2 linked regions of the Arabidopsis thaliana genome follow. The protein of the gene in region 2 interacts with the protein of the main gene of each other region in a pairwise test. Each region holds a gene or a part of one and is shown on either strand. Other genes may lie near its edges.

Region 1 (5,233 bases), on a different chromosome or scaffold from region 2:
CGGCCATCTGTCCATAGAGCTGCCTTATCCTTGGTGACAACAGCGGTACCAGCACTTCCAGTAAATCCTGATATATAAGCCCTCCTGGCATAGCACTCTGCGATGAACTCGCTCTAGTACAAAATATGGAGAAAAATCACACTCAAGCCATGAAAAACTCAGGCAGTTTATGGATACATTTAGAAGTAAAACATAAATTTGTGACTTTCCTAATGGCACAGAAATATATTACAGGCAACATCAGTTATGAAAGTAGATCTTAAGCTCCTAGTATGTAAAATTCACCGAAACAACACATTACCCATATCAAAATGGCAAAAACAATTGCATAGATGCATAACAACCCCCGCACTGGTCCAAATCATATTTATTTTTTATCTTGAATCTCCAAATCGAATTTGGTATACTCAGGGACAGCAAGATTGACGTGTGAGCGGAGCAAGAAACTTTGGGGAGAATGAAATAAAACACGAGTTGGAGAATTTCATACTGTGATTTAGAAGAAGAAGAACTTCCATTTGGCTCTACAATTGAAACATCCTCTTATGACAAGTTGAGATTTGACTAGGAAGAAAAATCTGAATGCATTTTCAACCCAACATATAGAAGATCAGATACCACCAAAGCCGTTTCTTACAATACCATAAAGTAGAAAATTACAAAGACAAAGAGTTTATGCATAACACAACTGACAGATATCATAACAAACATATACGTTTCACAATCACTCAGAGAAATTGTGAGAGGTGATGGTGTTCAACGAGCACTTGTGGTGACTACTCTGCGCTTGTTTCGATGGAATTTTTCCATGAACCACTCGTGTTTGTGTGCAGTAAAGAAGATATGTCCAATAACTAATCCACAAAACACACCAGGTCCGTAGGCTATTGCCGCTGCTATCCAGTTAATCACTTGTTCTTCTGGTTCCGAAAATTCCTCGGATTCTAGTGGTGTAGAACTCGGGGCATGAGCTTTTCCACAGATTTTCTCAAGACCGTAGAGTCTGAGGTTGTCCATGAATGTAGAACAATGTTGGCTTTGAAACTGAGTGCCTAGTGGAACTGGACCTTCGAGAAGGTTATGGGAGAAATTCATGGTCGACAGAAAAGAGAGGCTACCAAGATCTCGAGGGATGTGACCTGATAGCTGATTCCGGGATAGGTCCAATGTCTCAAGATTTGTCAAATTTGCCAATGACTGAGGGATATTGCTTGTGAATGAGTTACCTGACAAATTGAGAAGACGCAATTCCTTCAACAAACCAACGGATTCAGGTATATTCCCAAAAAATCTGTTTCCAGAAAAGTCAATGGCTCTGAAGAAATATGGGATCCGCAAGAAGTCCGTTTCTACTCCTTTATATATCATAGTCATCGAATTACTATGGCTGAACTCGGGCCCTTTCTCGCCCATGTACCAATCCTCTGTACCTATATTAGAGCCGTTTTCTTCTAAGACAGATGTCACCATCTCACGCCAATTGGAGAAATATAAAGGTGACAAAGTTCCACTGAAGCCATTCTGTGATATATCAATGAGTCTCAAATGTTGAAACCCAAAAGATATGTGGTCATAATATAACGACCCATAGAATGCATTAGATCTGAGGATGAGGACACGTAATGATGGCAAAGAAACCAACCAGGATGGAAAAGTGTCCTTGATTATGTTGCTTCCCACATTCAGAAGTTCCATACCAGTGCAATTGATCAGGGATTTTGGAAGTTTTCCCTCCAACCGGTTGTAGCTAACGTCAAGTGATAATAACATGCTAGCATTGACAAATACGTCTGGGAGAAATCCGCTGAAGCTGTTGTTACGCAGAACTAGCCCTTTAAGCCAATAAGTGGAATTTTTCAAACAAGGAGGAATTGAGCCGTTGAAGAGATTGTTGGACAAGTCTAAGTACTTTAAGAACCTTTGCTTGCAGATCCAATGGGGAAAAGGTCCTCCAAGTGAATTCGAACCAAGATCCAACTCCTGCATTGATTCTCCATCCAAAGCTCCGGATGATGACTTTCCAAAACTGTTGAAAGAATTGTGGGAAAGTGTCACTGTCATCAATCCCCATAAGCAACCTGGCACTTCGCCTTCCAAGGTATTGTTTGAAAGACTAAGATGCTGAAGGTTGACCAACTTTGATATAGAAGTGGGGATTGGCCCAACTAAGTTGTTGTGGCTAAGATCTAGTACTATGAGACTGTGAATTTCAGATATATATTCAGGGATTGGCCCATCGAATTTGTTATCAGCAAGGTTTAGATCCCAAAGCCTAGAAGATGAAGATATATTCCCAAACTTTATAGGTCCCATGAACTGGTTTCCTTCCAAATAAACAATTTGTAACGAAGGAATCGTGAATAAGGATGTAGGAAAAGTCCCGACAAATGAATTCTCACGCACATCAAAATATTTCAAGTTGTGGAGTCCACTCATATCAGATGGAAGCGTGGATTTAAAGTGATTAGAGGCAACGTTTAAGGAGGACAAGCTGGTTAAATTTGGTAGTATGAAAGAGAAATTTTCCAATGTGAACTGATTGCTAGAGATGTCTAAACTAGAAAGCTTCGTTAAATTGGTAAATGAAGTAGGAATGTTACCACTAAAACTGTTTTCGGAAAGTAAAAGGTCTCTAAGTTGGTTTAGCTTACTGACCGAAGCCAGAACTTCACCTGTCAGCTGATTACTCGAAAGGTCAAGATGCGTGAGACGAGAAAGGTTTCCTAGTGAAGAAGTAACCTCTCCATAGAGATGGCAATCACTGAGAGTCAGGTTCTGGAGTTGTTGGAGTTTGAAAAGACCACTAGTTGGTTTCAAAGAGTTGTTGAGAAGGACATAACTAAGGTCAAGTGAAACCACCTCGCCAGATTCATCATCGCACGTGACACCCTCCCAAAAACAGCAATCACTAGTCTTGTTCCATGAACTCAACGATGGACTTGGCTTCGATTCACTTACCGGAAACTCGTGTTTGAACTCGAGAAGAGCATCCCTTTGGTCATGGCGGCAATAGTGAAGCCTAGAAGAAGCAAGAGTGCGTAGAACAAGGGAACCCAGGAGGAAGAAATACAAGGTAATAACACTACCAGAAAAGGAATTAGATTGGCTTGGAATCATTTTGTTTGTTTTGTAAGTAACAGGTTATGATAGCTATGGCTTCTACGTCTCTATTTAGAGAGAGAGAAAAATAGAAAACAAAACACAAATTTGCAGCTCTCTAGTAGACTTCTACCTACTCCTTTCTATAGTCAAACTTGCCCACTTGGACCAATAATTGACTTAAAAACACACACAATTGAACAGTTTTGAATCTACTAGAACTTCCTATTCAATTCGTAATCACGAGTTAAGAAGAGGTTTAAAAAAAGAGAACCTGATGTGCATCTTGTGAAGGTATGATATAAGCGTCGATTCCAACACCCGGCTCCGAAAACAGTCGCCGGATCGAGCTAAGCTTCTCGTCGACAACTACTTTGGTTTGAGCTTTACGAATCTCTTTGGAAGACTTTGCCGTGAAGGAGGAAGAGCTGCTGCTGCTGCTACTAGCATGACACCTTGCGCCAAAAAGAGGTTTATACGGTAATTTCCGGTGGATCAGAGAGAGCGAATTGAAATTGCTGAGAAATAGAGAGTGTGAGTAACGTGATGTGGATAAAACGAGCCGATTCAGAGACGGCGACGAAAGAGTTAGAGGAATCATCACCAGCGATTGCAGGAGAATCACACAAGAGGAGAAGCTTCTTGAGCAGAGTGATTACGGATAAATGTGTATAACTACTGAAAATTGCAAAACAACCCCCGTATTCTTTTAAATGTTGTATAATGTGCATGACTATTGATAATTACATTAAAATCCCAGACTTGTCAAAAAGAAACATTTTATTTTGAAACAATCTCATCAAATTCGTTATGGTAAAGGACAGCCAAGAGAGACGTGTGCAAGAAGCAAGAGTCTTTGGGTGCGTAAGAAATGTAAACGTGTTCGAGACTTTCATGCTGAGAATTTCGATTGGAATTTTGGTTTGACTTAGAAAGTTTTATGAGAAAGACTTAATACCGCCTGAATTAAGGGTTTCCACGAAAGAGACAAACGATAAATTGCAACCACACCAGAAAAGAGAAAAATAGATACTAATATTCTTTATATTGATAACCATGGGGTTTAGAATTCAAAACATATTTTGAGATATGAGTAGAAGAAGTTTCTGAATGCATTATCGAGCCAAGATTTATTACAAAACCTTGCAACAATGTGGTTTGGGACAAGAAGCTGACCATGATTTTAACCTGATAGTAAAACGGGCCTTGTCTCTTGACAGCTGAAAGTCTGAAACAAGATCATAATATTTCTCAAGCGCTGAACTAACACAAGTAAGGGAATGGAAGTGAATACTTGTTCTGAAGCAACTGGCATGAAAATGTACCTCTCAAGTATCTGGTTTTTTCTAATCTCCTTCCGTGAAAAGAAAGATTCTTAGGGTACCAAGGCAAAGGCTTGATTGCCTCCAATTCACCACTCTCTATGGCCTTAAGTATGCTTCTTATGTCTATCATCAATGAGACACTAGAAAAATGAAAGAGTCATGAATCAACCTCAGCCCGAAGAGATTTCATGAAATCATTCTCCAATTTCAATCAAATCCCATCACAAAATTGACCACTGAAGAATCAAAAACAGAGGCCACTTAGTCAAAAAAAACTCTGAAACTCCATAAACGAATCCCACTCTTCAGCTTTCACTATCCTTTGTTCCTTACACAACTTCACAACAAGACATTACAATGGTGTTTATTAGAAGTAAAGTTTCAAAATCCATGGAAGCCATTGATTCTATTGAGGTACCTTGTAATACTCCTCGAGTCCTCATCCTCGAAATGAAGATTTGAGCAGATGGGCTTTTGGAGGTTGGAATCAAAGGAAGCATCGGATTTGAGGGGGTTTTCGAACATTCTCTTGGCTATTTAGAGTTGATTTCTCTTCCAAGTTGTGTCGTCTCCATTTTTGTTGTTACAGTGGCCGAGCTTTTTGTTTTCACAGCGATGGGTTTGATGGGTTTACATTGGTTTTGAAATTCAAATTGATCTCGGTTCGGTTTAATTTGGTTTAGAGAAGAAAACCAAAAAAAATAAGACACGCGATGGATTTTTGAGAGTGAGTTGCGTGGATCAAAAAAGGCATGATTTCTGTGGACAAACCCCTTTAGAAATCGTAGACACGCGCTCAACGCGACATG
Region 2 (6,223 bases):
CAGCTCATTAAGCCACAACGAGCCAGGGAAGTTCTCAAAGATAGTGTAGCGAGAGCTGCGTTTGGTGGTGGAGATTCTTTGCACCACAGGCGCAAAAGAACATCCACCAAGAGTGTTGTTGGATCAGCCTCCCCTAGCGTTCACCACCGAGGCCACATTGCAAAAGGACGTGGATCCAAAAACAGAAGCCAACGTCAACTAAGAAAAACTTCAGCTGCAGGGACGCCATCACATTGAATTGTTCTTTTTGTTTGAATCTCATGAATTGGCCAATGCAAATTGCAAAGCCATCTCCATTCTTTGATTTTATAATTCAGCATCTTTTCTAACGCTTATGTTTCCGGTTCGGTTTCAATTCTGGTTTACTGTCTTTTTACTTTTTAGTTGATCCGGTTCTCGGAAACATGTAAAACCGAATAACACTTTCCGGTTTAACTCAATTTTGGAGATTTTTCATATAATCAATTTCAAAAAGAATCGTAACTAATCTCGGGTTAATTCCGGTACGGTACAATGTTGGGTAAGTATCTCGGATTCGGTGAACAAACAGAGAAACTCAGTGAAAATTTACTAAAAAGCTTTGAACTTATTTCATAAACATCTTCACAAATATTGAATCATATTCTTTTTTCGCTGTATAATAAGAGTTGTTATAGAACCAAAGTTGTAAAGAAAAAAAAAATCTAGATTCTGTAAAATGGGAACTCACGGAACCAGATAAAGAAATTTCACCGGCGGTCTTACGTCCCCGGCGGGATATATATTTCATCTCTTCCTCCTTTCTTCCCCGTATCGCCAACACAAGTTGGATGATTTGATTCCAAAATGTGAGGCATTGGAACAAAAAAATTAAAAAAGTGGAGAAAAACCTGTGTCTATGTTCTTCTTCTTCTTCAGATTGATTGTCGCTTGGTGAATGGTTTTTGGCAGATGAGAAGTCTTTGTTCACTGCTGCTTTCAACCTCTATTACTCGAGCTTCCCACTTCAACTGCGTTATCGTCTCTCTCGCCTTTTCCACCAGCTGTGCCGTGTCACGGATTATCACCCATCCCTGTACAAAGTTTTGTTTATTATAGCTACCAGAATACAAGAAACAATAATGTTCTTTACAAAGTAAACAAATGTGTACCTCTGGACGAAGCAATCGGTCAATCTCTGTGAATATATCAATAAGTAGACATGTTTTTCGGGGCTGACTTGTCTGAAGCGACAAGAGATTGTCTGCATGTACCAGGTCATATGTTCTCGGGTAAGTCGGGAATGGTTCACACCTGAAGAAAAAGAGATGTTCAGAAACACTTCTATGGCTAAAATGAAAATCCAATAAGGCTTTTGAACTGACCAGTTGTGCAAAACTCCGACAAAGCCACGGTCAAGTATCATGGGGAGGTGGTTAGGTCCAGCTGTAGGGACCACATTCATGACCCAGACTGATTTTCTTGCTTCCAACAAGGCGGAATTGAGACCACCGAATTGAGCATTCATATCCAGTACGTTTCTGAGCATGTTATAAGGCGGTGATGGATCTTCATCGCCGGGTCTTTTTGGATGATCAGAGAATATCAGAGGAGACAAGAGAGACCAGTATTCTCTCACTGTTATCTTCCAGTTCTCAGCATCCTCTCCAAGCACCTCGGGGTGAAGACCTAAACCAACCCCAGGAATCAAAATGAGATAACAAAAACTGCAGACATATGGATTCAGAAGCAATTTGTTACTACGGAGACTAACCATATAATGAAAGTTCAGTCTTGTTCATGTTAGACCGGCTAGGCCATCTTGTCCTGCCTTCAATGGGAATCCACCTCCGGCTACGTGTTCCACCTATACACATCTGAAGCGGCCTGTAATAAGGAGACTCAACATCGTGCCCTTTGGTACACACAGAAGGGCCCACTCCAGGTTTCCTGTTTATAGGCAAAGCATCCATTTTTAGAGGACTTGATAAATAACCATAAATGTATCCATATGCAGATTCTGTAATACAACAGTGGTGTGTGTGAATCACTGACCGGGAACTATAACATTTGGTGTTGATAGTCTTTTTCCAGACAACTGTCTCATCTTGCTGATTTAAAAGAGTCCAACAGATGCTTTCAGCAAAATCATGAACAAAGTTCCATCTTTTAAGATGATCCTTGTTACGAGGGTTTGTGAGCGGAGATGTCCATACAAAGTAACCACCGGGCTTGAGAACCCTGTCAATTTCTACAAGGAGAAGCCCATCTACACAGCAGATTGAAACAGTAAAGTTGGATCTTCCATCGGGTTAAGGACATGAAAAAAATCATTCTGGGGTGTCATTAAACTGTTACCTTTCTGGTCCCAATCAATGCCACATCTTAAGCAATGCAACATATCAAAGGAAAGAGAAGGATATGGCAATTGCTTTGATATAAAAGAGCCAATCATTGCAGGAAGACCCCTTTCGAGTGTTAGCTGAACTTGGCTACCCGAAGCTTCGTAGTTTGCTATGCACATAGTTAAAATCTGTTTGGACAATAGATGTGCCCCAAAGCTACCATAACCACATCCAATATCCAAGATAGTTCTCACCTGAAACAGTATTAAAAGGAAAATAGCAAATAAGAAACTGAACTAATGAGATAGATAAAGATTGACTCTTTCGAATGTGTGTGTGACTTACACCAGCTTCTATGAAGTTATCCTTCTTAATCCCGATCATTTCAGCGATCTGATGGGAATAGTCTTCAACCTCATCAGACATAGGAGATGCTGACCTGAAAGATATCTGATCATCTTCCATCATCATCATCCTGGAAAAAAATGCATCATTAGCAATGGAACCAGTCAACTTTAGCAAGAGAGAAGCAACGATTCATCACCTCTTGGTTATGCTACCAGAAGACACAACTTCTTGAGCAGTAATCTTAACATTAGAATGCCAGATTATATCTTTACCAGTCGGCCACCTAAGAGGGACTCGATATTTCACCGGTGGCAACTCTAAACATTCTTGCTTTGATCCAGGCCCACAAAACCGATCATTTTCATCACCATTGGAGTAACCCAGAGCAAGATTCTCAGAAACATTAAAGCAAGGGACAAAATTCTCAGATTCTATATTACAATATTCAAGCTCCTTCCACCTATTAGGACCAAGAGAAATCTCCCCAATATCCCATAAGTCTGAAACAAGCTGCTCCTGTAACCTCCTATAATTGTGATATACATGACCTCTGGAAGAAGTCGAAATGGAAATAGTCCACCAGAAAGAACCAGCAAGAGCAATAACCACAATAAGAACCAAACTGATCTTGAGAAACAACAACATCAATCTATGCCTGCTTCTTGCACTATATGGATCAGCAGAAAAACCGTTTTCGCCACCACCACCGTGTTTGGAAGAAGATTGATTACTAAAGAGGAAACCAAAAGGAAACCTTAAGGTTAAGTTGTTGTTCTCAGTAGAACGAGCTCTTTCAGTTTTGTCTTTCATTTGAGAGTCTCTCAAATCATCACTGCTATCAGAAACTCGTACTCCAGAGATGCCACGTTGTAGTGGCATTGACATTTTTTTGTTGCTGCTATAAATCTAAGATCCCTGTAAATAAAAAACAAGTCCATCAGATTATAAAAATTTAAGCTTTGAGATCTCTGAAACTCGAGATCACGCGTTTGTAAACAAATTCGAACAAAACAAGTAAAAAGACTCAATTTTTACATAAGCAGATCCACAAATTCTGAGGAGAGACGAAATTGGTAAACTCGTGGAAATCGAAATCGAACGAAAACCCAGAAAAATTGGACAAAAAACCCCAACAACCCTTAAATTAATCAAGCGAATAAACACCAAATCGAATCAAAATCAAGAAGATGAATAAGAGTGAGGAAAAGAAGCAAAAATCGTACTTTTCTACGCTGCTCTGTATATATATATATACAAACGATTATAAATCTGGAGATTTCCCTCAGCAAAAAGTTGATGGAATATTGGAGAATACTAATCAGATTGTGTCTTCTTCAATTTCTCCGAGAGCTATCACTCTCACTCTCTCTCTCTTTATCTCTATCTCTCTCTGTATATCAAGAGAGTTGAAGCTGGAACAGTGGGAGAGAGTGAAGAAGCAGGCGTCGTGCAGATTTTGTATGGATCCAATCTCGACACAGCTCGTGAGACACTGAATTATTTAAACCAAAACAAACAAAAAATGAATTAAGAAACACTTCCGTTGGCTTTGGTATATAAACAAAAGAAAGAGAGTAAATTAGTTGAGATGCCTAAGCGTATTTAAGGGGGGAGAACGAAGAGAAGCTTCCCATGGGTACATGTCTAATTAGTACTATCTACTGCTAATTACTAGTACTATAATCGTATTAACTTCACGCTCTGTTTTCTTTCTACTTTTTAATGTTTTTTACCTCTCTTTCTGTCTCTTTCTTCTTCCCATAAAAAAATATATGAAATCTTGGCGGTGCATAAAAACAAACATTTATTTCTTTTAATTAAGTTCACTAATTGGTCGACTGAAAAATTAGAAGATGCTTTATAGTAGTAGTTGACCAAAAATATTAGAAGATGTTCAATAATAGTATTTTGACATTTATAGAATTAATGAACCGGTTGAAAAAATGTGTTAGGTCAAACATGAGATTTCCTAAAGGTTATTTTGTCGATAGTAAATGATTTTTTTTTACGGGGACTGTTTTTTTTTTATGTAGAAAAGTTAATGATCTTTTTTAAGGTAGATGTATCGAGCTTGTTTTATAGCGTCAATGGAATTTATATAAACATCATAAAGTTTAGTGGAAACAAAACATCATGATTATGACCAAAAGAATCATGAATATAGAAGGTACAATATGGGTGTTTTGGATGCAGATCTGAATGTGTAAAAATGTTGACTTTGTAGTTTATTCATCAAATTTTGAACTGTTTAAAGGAGGACAAAAAACACATGATCAAATTCCATGAGAAAAAAATGGTCGGTTTAGGCCAAGTTCCTCTCGCAAGAAAACGAGTGATCGTCCCCTAATTGGAATAAGACGAGTTTCTTCACAAATGTCCTCGATTTGGTTTTGTTTTTTTTACACTCATCGATTTGGTTAATTTATCTTCTTATCCATAGACTAATGTTTTTGCGAAAAAGATATTTCTAAGAATCACGATCATTTATTACCAAACGCATTATTAGGAGACCAGTTGCCCACTTGTACACGCCAACCACGATAAGGTTAAAATTGTGTCAATACGAGGCAAATTTTGTACTTTTAAATATCCCACTCACGATAAGATTTTCTACTTTTATTTGATCTTCAAAATCTGTATTTTATGGTAAATTTGGTAAATTTCATTTGATTTTTTCTTATATTCCGTATGATATAAGTCGAGTGAGTCACTGAGTTGTTTTGTTTCACAGCTCATGCATATTTATTTAGTGGATTTATAAATCTGCATGTACCTAAATATATAAAGTGTAAGAGGGTGGTGAAATATTTGCAATTTTGTTTTATATGTTTGTACTCATCAAATAAAAAAGATACTACGGATGATTTGACATAGCATCATCACATAAAAACAACGTACGAACATAAAAGCCACGTAAAATATATGTTATTGTAATAATGTAATATAGAATAAGCCACAATATATGAAGATTGGATGATTGATGTAACACAAAATTAGCCATGTTATATTGTTATTATCGACTATATATACGCAATAGAAAACTATTCCGCATAGCGTTTGTCCTTAGCCTTCACTTTGAAGAGAAATTAAAAACAAAACAACTCCAAAACATTGTTACTATCTGTTTCAATGATTCTCGAAATTGATTCATTATTTCCTTTTTTTCTGCTTGATAATTATTTTTGACAAGTAAAGGGAAAATGTTTGTAAAAGTGCTATCGCCAACGATTAATTATCAATTAAATTCTTTGATAGAGAAGGGATCAGGTTGCTCCAGAAATTTCCAATATGCAAACAGACACAAGGTACCATTCAGCATTTATAATATATTGTGTTTTGGGAAATGTATGATTAATCACAAAACAAACAAACGAAGAGATAACGAAACATACAGTTAACCTATAAAACTTCAAACTTAAACAAAACTAATAATACCGTGGTATTTTTGCGTAAAATGTCATATATGTCATCATTCAAAACTGAACTGGTAGTTTATTCAAACGGGTTACACCGATATATATAACCACTTTTAGCTAAATAAATGCAAAATAAACAAGTAGGTTTCTTAATTA

Evidence for each region. The genes of interacting proteins can lie anywhere in the genome.
Region 1: the proteins of TSD2 (region 2) and RLP30 interact in a protein complementation assay, tested with the Arabidopsis thaliana proteins (one large-scale study listed by BioGRID).

The regions. Positions count from the first base shown.
Region 1 is NC_003074.8:1,530,144-1,535,376, forward strand, and holds RLP30 (receptor like protein 30), read right to left. Parts: upstream 3,219-5,233; 5' UTR 3,118-3,218; coding exon 757-3,117; 3' UTR 525-756; downstream 1-524. Other genes in the region: AT3G05350 (Metallopeptidase M24 family protein), read right to left, coding at 1-113, 3,374-3,700; AT3G05365 (uncharacterized protein), read right to left, coding at 4,233-4,327, 4,425-4,564, 4,843-4,949. UniProt on the Arabidopsis thaliana protein: Receptor for microbe-associated molecular patterns (MAMPs) that induces a BAK1-dependent basal immune response to necrotrophic fungi (e.g.
Region 2 is NC_003070.9:29,432,280-29,438,502, forward strand, and holds TSD2 (S-adenosyl-L-methionine-dependent methyltransferases superfamily protein), read right to left. Parts: upstream 4,396-6,223; 5' UTR 3,875-4,395; intron 3,567-3,874; 5' UTR 3,537-3,566; coding exon 2,848-3,536; intron 2,779-2,847; coding exon 2,649-2,778; intron 2,558-2,648; coding exon 2,317-2,557; intron 2,228-2,316; coding exon 2,014-2,227; intron 1,909-2,013; coding exon 1,733-1,908; intron 1,648-1,732; coding exon 1,344-1,647; intron 1,273-1,343; coding exon 1,131-1,272; intron 1,053-1,130; coding exon 894-1,052; 3' UTR 550-893; downstream 1-549. Other genes in the region: AT1G78230 (Outer arm dynein light chain 1 protein), read left to right, coding at 1-237. UniProt on the Arabidopsis thaliana protein: May be involved in the synthesis of homogalacturonan. Required for normal cell adhesion and plant development.